Linked DNA regions of Schizosaccharomyces pombe. Changing the gene in region 1 together with any one later gene gives a genetic interaction. Each region holds a gene or a part of one and is shown on either strand. Other genes may lie near its edges. The genes, in order: prp31 and spo20.

Evidence for each region.
Region 2: mutations in prp31 (region 1) and spo20 together harm fitness more than expected from each alone (negative genetic interaction), as found in Schizosaccharomyces pombe (one large-scale study listed by BioGRID).

The regions. Positions count from the first base shown.
Region 1 is NC_003423.3:741,132-745,564, reverse strand, and holds prp31 (U4/U6 x U5 tri-snRNP complex subunit Prp31), read left to right. Parts: upstream 1-1,721; 5' UTR 1,722-2,045; coding exon 2,046-3,602; 3' UTR 3,603-3,729; downstream 3,730-4,433. Other genes in the region: protein Mdm35, read right to left, coding at 1,225-1,395, 1,458-1,496; golgin protein Rud3, read right to left, coding at 4,085-4,433.
Region 2 is NC_003424.3:607,088-611,217, forward strand, and holds spo20 (sec14 cytosolic factor family, phospholipid-intermembrane transfer protein Spo20/Sec14), read left to right. Parts: upstream 1-1,881; 5' UTR 1,882-1,904; coding exon 1,905-2,063; intron 2,064-2,111; coding exon 2,112-2,414; intron 2,415-2,441; exon of another isoform or gene 2,442-2,610; coding exon 2,611-2,733; exon of another isoform or gene 2,734-2,755; intron 2,756-2,796; coding exon 2,797-3,072; 3' UTR 3,073-3,616; downstream 3,617-4,130. Other genes in the region: exosome 3'-5' exoribonuclease subunit Rrp6, read left to right, coding at 3,799-4,065, 4,124-4,130. UniProt on the Schizosaccharomyces pombe protein: Required for transport of secretory proteins from the Golgi complex. Catalyzes the transfer of phosphatidylinositol and phosphatidylcholine between membranes in vitro. Essential for viability and secretion.

The DNA.
Region 1 (4,433 bases):
ATTTCTTTATTTGTAAAATGATTTGCTTTGACATGTATTTCTTTAGAGATAAGTATTTCGATTTTTAATATTTTTGTTTATATATATGTAAATACGACTCTTAGGAAAATTATATATAAAAAAACCCAAATTTTCATTAACTAAAAATAATAACAATATTTTCTATAAATAAACTGCGCTGCAGAAGCTAGCAAAAACAAACCTGGTCTTATTAATTCCATCACCCACTCGTTTTTATTGTTTGCCCTTGTGCAATTGCTAGGTTAACGACTCAAAATTTGGCGTAACGCATAATATTTTAGGTAAAAATTTGTTTTTGATTAATAATCTGCAATTAAACTCTAATATACCAATTTGCTACCTAACTATGAAAGACATGTTTTACAAAGGAAATTGACTGCACTTCAACTTTCAGCTTCTTAATACCGTATATCAATTACAATCAATAGTATGAAATTCTCAACAGAACTGATTACTACTGGACTCAGTGTACTTTTGAATACAATAGTTCCAAAACTAATAAAGAAAATACTGAACATTCATGCAAAGCTTTTCCTAAACGTAGAGGTTCGAAATTTGACTTAACAGTTACAAATTTTATTTATTTAAAAATGATAAAAATCAATTGACATTTACAGTATTTTTTTTCATTCATTCAAATTTTTATTGTTTAACTGCGACTGATGTAGTTAATATGTATATGTTATATATTTTTTAGTGACAGACTTGGACACTATGCCTGAGTGGTTAAAGGGACAGACTAGAAATCTGTTGCGGTCTCCGCGCGCAGGTTCAAATCCTGCTGGTGTCGAATTTTTGCCAAAATAATGTTTTTGCATGTCGAAGTGAAAATAGACTAATTAAGAAGGAATACCATTCAATTCTTTGATTATAAGTATATTCTTACAAGTTTTCTACAAAGGTGAGTCCAATGAAAAGATGTTCATATCATTTTACTTAGTATGATCTTAGTCAACTACCCTTTTAGAGAATTATTGGTTTGCCAGCAAAAGGATATGCCGAATCATATGTTCTTAAACAACACCTTTAGAAGTGTATACTTGCTTCATGGCAGAGATATTTCGTTACCTACAATTCTGATAAACTTACAATTGCACAGATGCTTATCACTTTTTCACCCGTTTTAAAAGAAGAGCTTTATTCCATGGTACTGCTATCTTTCAAAGCAACCTTAAAAATCATATATCCAAAGATGCTCTTACTTTAATCTTCTTTGCGTGCTGCTTCAAGAAGAGGATCTATTTTTTTCGTTTTCAAAGCCTTCAAAAGACATGATTTGTACTCGGCAAAGAGCTCATCACAGTCTCTATTATGGAGATCACCTTTTAAGAATTTATTCGCATACCAATCGTTAAAGCAGGCATCATACTTCTTCTGTTCATAATTTAGTCAGCTAAAATTCGTCCACAGTGTTTATCATATAAAGAAAACTCTACCTTAGCAGGGGTACATTCTTCACTAACAGAGGACGACATAGTTGGATTCAGTAATCTTGATACTTTTCCAAACTGTTGAATGAATGAATTTTCTCCAGATCAATTAAACCAATTTCCTTGTCAAGGAAAAAAAAAATGAACGAAAAAAATTTAACAAACTTGAAGAAATGAATCAAGCAGTTTTCGATCCCAATTCCCTATGACCGTAGTAACGTGGTTGTCTAGTATGTGTAGAGCACTAAGCAAAATACCCCATGCCAGTTCAAGTTTGACACTCCACTTGGAACTTGTCAATAAAGCGAATTTGAATCTTATTTTTACTTATTTATTTGCATTAATCTTCAAATTTGCACGATTAGTGCTATTAAGCCTATAAAAAGTTGCAGTTCTATTAAATAGCCACATACATCTATTTTGTACATTACTATCCTGGCGTTTGCTGATTACGTCCTATTTTTGAATTATTCATTAGTCTTTTTTTTAGTGAAATCTTAGACTTCCAGAACCAGCTTTGTTATTTTTTTTTCTTTTTCTGGCAACTACGCTTGACAAAAAGTTTTTCATTAGGCAAGGATTTTAACCAATATAATGTCACTGGCAGATGAATTATTAGCTGATCTTGATGATATTGAGGAAACTACAGAATCTACAATTACTGATGAACTTGGGCCAGATGCGAAGAAAAGGCGGTTAGAGTTACAATTAGAGGAAGGAAATGGCATTTCTGCTGAATTAGAAAACGATTTGGATATTACCAAAATTAGCGATTCTGCTCAAAAATTGCCTAGTGAAGTTGCTAATAAATTTAATGACAATAATGAGAACATTTATCAGCTGTTGAATTCTACACGTCTTCGCGATATCATAGAAGGAACTGAGAAATATAAAGGCACCGAAAAACAAGCTATCACTGGAAACATCGAAGATGATCTCGAATATCACCTTATCGTGGATTCTAATTCAATTGCGATGGAAATTGACGATGAAATCCTGCGGCTGCACAGACTCGTGAAGGAATGGTATCATGACCGATTTCCTGAATTAAGTAGTTTGGTCTTGAATGCCTTTGACTATTGCAAAACTGTTAGTTCTCTGTTAAATGATTTAGACAACAGCAAAACCAAACTTTCCTTTCTTCCTTCTGCTACAGTGATGGTTATTGCTACAACAGCAACGACAACAGTGGGAAAGCCTCTTCCAGATGAAATGATAAAAAACGTTAAAAATTGCTGTGAGGCAATTCAGCAATTGGGTGAAGAAAAGCAAAAAATTATTGAATATGTCCAATCAAGAATTAGTGTCGTAGCTCCTAATTTGTCTGCAGTCGTGGGTTCTACCACAGCTGCCAATTTAATCGGCATTGCAGGAGGATTGACTAGACTTGGAAAGTTTCCTGCTTGCAATTTACCAGCGCTCGGAAAAAGGAGGCTGACAACAATTGGTATTAACAATCCGGCTGTTAGTGGGGATTATGGATTTTTGTATATGTCGGAAATTGTTCAAAAGACCCCTCCTGATGTACGAAAGCAAGCTATCCGAATGACTGCTGCTAAAGTTGCTTTAGCAGCAAGAATCGATTCCATTCATGAATATCCTGATGGCTCATTTGGCATATCTGCTCGAAAGGAAGTTGAACGGAAAATTGAAAAGCTTTTGGAACCTCCATCACAGAAACCAACTGTTGCGCTACCCGTTCCTGACGATAGGCCAAAACGTCGTCGTGGAGGAAGAAGAATTCGCAAGATGAAAGAGCAATATGCCGTAACGGAATTGCGGAGATTACAGAATCGCGTCGCCTTTGGTAAGGAGGAGGCGGAAGTCTTTAATTTTGACGAAACGGAAGGTCTTGGTATGCTTGGTCAAGAAGGTGAAGGAAAAATTCGTGCAGTGTCAATTGATTCTCGAACTAAATTACGGTTACCAAAAGCGCGGAAGGCCCAACTACAATCAATGGCACAGAAGAATCCCCTTGCTGCAAGCGGTTTACAAAGTTCATTATCCTTCACACCTATTCAAGGCATTGAACTAGTGAACCCCTTACTTCAACGACAACAAAAAGTAGAAGAGGCCAACAAATGGTTTCGTGATGGTGTTTTTACACAGATAAAGAAGGATTCTAATGAGCCGAAAAATAAATTTTCATAATAATGTCTTCATAATGATTAGTTACTTTGCATATAGCTATGTTGCTTTTGCATACTAGTAATACAGACCATAACTATGACCTGAGTGATTAAAATAAAATGATATTTTTAAAATTCTTCGAAAAAACTGATATTAACAAACAATTTTGAAAATTAAGAATATTGACTAATAGATGAAATTGCAACAAGCGCTTTTGCCATAAAGCTAGGCATAGCAGGAGAAGGCAAAATATCAAAATGAACGTATGAAACTATTACTTCAAGAATGATATAGTCAACCTTCAAAATGTGTGAAAAGAGAGTAAAAAAATACTAAAACCTTGTACGCGCGGCAAAAGGTAACCCCTAATTAAGTTGTGAAGTAAGAAAAAAAAAAGCGATACATAAAAAGAGCGAAAGATATTATTATTTACAGAAAAAAGAAAAATCTTTCATACCATTGCTCAATTGAAACGTAAAATTATCGGTTAGTGTGGAAGAAAATTATGAGTCATGGAAAGAACGTCTTTTGGAAAAGGAATGATCGGAGAATAGAGAGTTAGAGGACGCACTGTGAGGAATACTCCAATTATTTACAGAGGAACCAGGACGTTGAAGTCCCGTTTGTTCCCTTTGCGTATCGTTCCAATCTAACACGGAAGAAATTAATTGCAATATTTCGAAACGTTTAGTGTCAGCGCGAGGAAGCGTCAAAAAGGAGACAAACAAATTAGAAATAAGTTGTTTGTCAATTTTTTCTGCATTATTTCCATCTTTAAGCATGCAGAGAGCCTTTGTAAGATGTTCATTCAAAACAACGGCCTCGTGCTGCAGTTTACCAATAAGTAGGGTT
Region 2 (4,130 bases), on another chromosome or scaffold:
ATTTCACACTCAACCAAATGTGTAAAGAGTTGGCGATTAAAAGGAAATTTATGCAGATGGTTTTCTTCCAACTACCTTTATTTTTTTTTCTTCTTCACAACTTTATGTCTTAGGTAGAAGATACGGCGGAGTGGTACTAAAATTGCATCCTTTAAATAGATGAAAAATTAAGTTGCCACTCAAATGAATGGAACTTCGGGCTTTTCAAAACCACCGCCAGGGAAATGACATGAAAACAATTTTACTATCCCGAAATTTTCTTTTTTTCAGCTTCTGCACTGATAGCATAATCGTTTCCAAAACAAACTGTAAACTAAATTTTCATAAAAGCAGTAAATTTTCAAACTTGGAGATATCGGGGTAGGGTTACCGTTATTGCAGTTCAAATAACCATTGCTATTATTTAATATGTATAAAAAAACCATGTAGTAATAGACTCGTGTGCAAAGTACACTTCAGCTGGGTTTGAGGTGCAAGGTTGCCAATTAAGAAACGTAGTACTGATTCTTTTCACCTCTACCATACTTATTCAATGTTAAATGCTTATAACATTGATATCCACGGTTTTCATCCTATATTCAAACTATGCTTCCTGCCTTTAGTAACAAGCTTGCGTAATGCATTGTTTCCTGCATTTATTCGTTTGTTAAATTATAACGATATTTTGACGATTATACTATCCTTCCGTAACGTTAATATAATAATCAAAAATTTATATTGTTATAGGTCTTTAAAGGTAAAATCAATGTAAATAAATGTATTATTGCTAACATGTAGAAAATTTGATACTAACTTGAAAATTTTATGCAAGTACAAAATGGACTGTCCATTCAAGCAATGCCTTTCACTCTTGTATGTTTTGTTAAACTTTGCGTGGAAGAAACGCTTTCAAAATTATGGCTGAAGTTCGATCGAAAGAGAAGGAAACAATAATTACGTTTGCGAGACAAAACTAGTTTTTAAAAAAATTTTGTATATATATTTAAGTGGCTGTTAGTCTAATTATTATTTATTTTATTCATTCTTTAGATTTTATTTTATTTTATTTTTTATGTCGTATAGTATTACTTTATTTACGTTTCAATATGTATTTTTTGTTAAATTGCTTATTCACGAAATATTTTTCCATTTGCAATAAAATTTCTTTTCCTTTACTATATTTGCTTATTTAAAGTTCTTTTTTAATCACAACTCTATGACAATTTTCTACTCCTCATTTATAATACGAAAACTGAACAATCATAAAATTGAACTGTTTTACTTCACATAAATATCCAGCTACGATACTCCTATACCGTTTTTACATAGACAACAATCTCAAAATCGCAATATGATCATCCATTTACATATTCTATACTCTATGTACTATAACGCTTCTTAGTGCCTGGTTTACTCTTTCAAAGCTGTCAGGTGCATAAATATTGATGACAGAAAATCACCACAAGCGCACTCAAAGGCTTAAATAAAATAAACATTATCTATCGTTCGTTTTTTTTGGTAAAGAAAAAATGCTTCCACAAAGTTAAATTGTCACTTTTTCCCCATGTTTTATTTACCTTCAACGCCTCGTTGAAGGCCATTCTGCATCTCAAATTTGTCGCACTTTTCATGCAAGTTGAAAAATTGGTTATACACAATTTAAACCTCATACGAGGAGCTTCTTCCTCTCATCTGATTTTTAACACTGAAGTTTATCCTCATACTCACATATAACAATAGCGTTGGGTGTAGCATGGCAACAAAGGTTCCTGCGGTAGTAGGTAAAAGGCCCCCACGCTTGACTGATCCCCCACGGCTGATGACCACTAGTATTAAGGTCGCTGACGTTCTTCCTTTTCCTTTATACATCTTGTACAGACTGGGTCATTAGGTCTTCTCTCTACAACCATCGTCTAAACAAAAAGATGTCAGAAACTATATCGGATCCTTATCCTCTAACTAATCCAAATGCTCCATTAGGGCACCCAGGGCATTTGAATTCTACACAGCAAGCTACGCTAGATAGCATGCGTTTAGAGTTACAAAAACTTGGATACACGGAAAGATTAGACGATGCCACTTTAGTAAGTTGTACAGCAGGAAACTTTGTGTTTGTACTAATGGATTCTTAGTTGCGTTTTTTGAGAGCCCGTAAATTTAATTTGCAACAGTCGCTGGAAATGTTTATTAAATGCGAAAAGTGGAGAAAAGAATTTGGTGTTGATGATCTTATCAAAAACTTTCATTATGATGAGAAAGAAGCCGTTTCCAAATATTACCCTCAATTTTATCATAAAACTGACATCGACGGCCGTCCGGTATACGTTGAGCAACTCGGTAACATTGATTTGAAGAAGTTGTACCAAATCACGACTCCCGAGCGTATGATGCAAAATTTGGTTTATGAATATGAAATGCTTGCTTTAAAACGGTTTGTAAGTAAATTCAAATGATTAAATGTATCTCCAGTAATTCTCATAATCAAACCTTTCCTTTGGATTTGCATATTCCATATAAGGCTGGTTTTTCGGCTTTTTAATAGAAAAACTTTTGGTTTTCTACTGTGTTGAATTTTTTGTGATATATTTTTTCATTTTGATATTTCTTTTCATCTTTATTAACCGTCTTCAGCCCGCTTGTTCTCGTAAAGCAGGAGGCTTGATTGAAACTTCGTGCACAATCATGGATCTAAAGGGTGTTGGTATTACTAGTATTCACTCGGTTTACAGCTACATTCGTCAAGCATCAAGCATTGTAAGTTGAAAATGTTGAAATTTTTGTTCTTTTTTTTTTTTTTCAAGTATTAACACGTTAAAGAGTCAAGATTATTACCCCGAAAGGATGGGCAAGTTTTATGTAATTAACGCTCCTTGGGGATTCTCTTCTGCCTTTAATCTTATCAAAGGTTTTTTGGATGAGGCAACTGTCAAAAAAATTCATATTTTAGGCTCAAACTATAAGAGTGCTCTGCTCGAACAAATCCCTGCTGATAATCTTCCTGCTAAACTCGGTGGAAACTGCCAATGTCCAGGTGGCTGCGAACTATCTGACGCCGGTCCATGGCATGAAGAACAGTGGATGAACAAAAATTAGACTTCTTTCTCCGAACGGGATTTAATTGCTAGAATAGATGAATGTGGTTTGTCCTTTGATAAGAGTAATAGTGTGTAGAGTTTTTGCCGATCTTTCAACTTTGTTCTGCGTTTTAGTTCTTAAAGGTCTTCGTTCTATTTTTACTCAGCATCTCAGGTACTTCCTTCTACTTACGGTTTACTATTCGACGAAATTATCGTATATAGATCGAAGCATATATAAATATTTTATTTCGAAAGTCATGTGTTGATCCATCATCAACATCATGGGATGGTTGCTGTTACAATTCTTAATCCTTATAGAAGGTCTCAATACATATATCGTTCATTAATTTTCCAAAAAAGGACGCTCGATGATCCAACTGATTTGATTGTTTCATCCATTCTAGATTATCCGAAGTTTTTAAATTTGTAATTCATCTACTTTGATTATTTTTTTACTTTTTGATCAAAATTGAATGCCTATATTATAAAAGACCTCTCTATAGTTGCCTGCTAATAGTTTCACAATTTTGAACTAATCATAAATAATTGCTTTTACATAATTCTGCTAAGATTTTGCATTTGTGTAAAATATTTTATATATATAAAAATAGCTCTTGTATTTCGTACTTTAACGATGTCTATATTCAAGTTCGGTAATTCGTTGAGCGTGTGGTAAAAGTGCTTGAAAATTCCTGAACCAAACCAAAAACCTTACTGATCCAGTAGGGTAAACAATAGCATAATGGATGAGTCAGAATTGTTTAAGGGTTTAATGAATAGTACAGCCTATTGCTCTGAATTGGCAAAGGTTGATATACCGTTTTATAAATCAATTGATACCGAATTCAATGAAAACATAAAAAGTGTTTCTTCTCGTTTTATGAGATTAATTGAATTGCTTCTTTCTAAAGTAGACAGAAGTCGGGCGGAGGATATTGTGGACGTTGAAGATATAGATAATAGATGGGCAGAAGTATCGGACACATTAGACATACTCTTTGAAAAAGCTGTAAGTGAATTTTTGAAATTGTAAACGGATTTTATTTAACTAAGACGTATGAATATAGGACTATT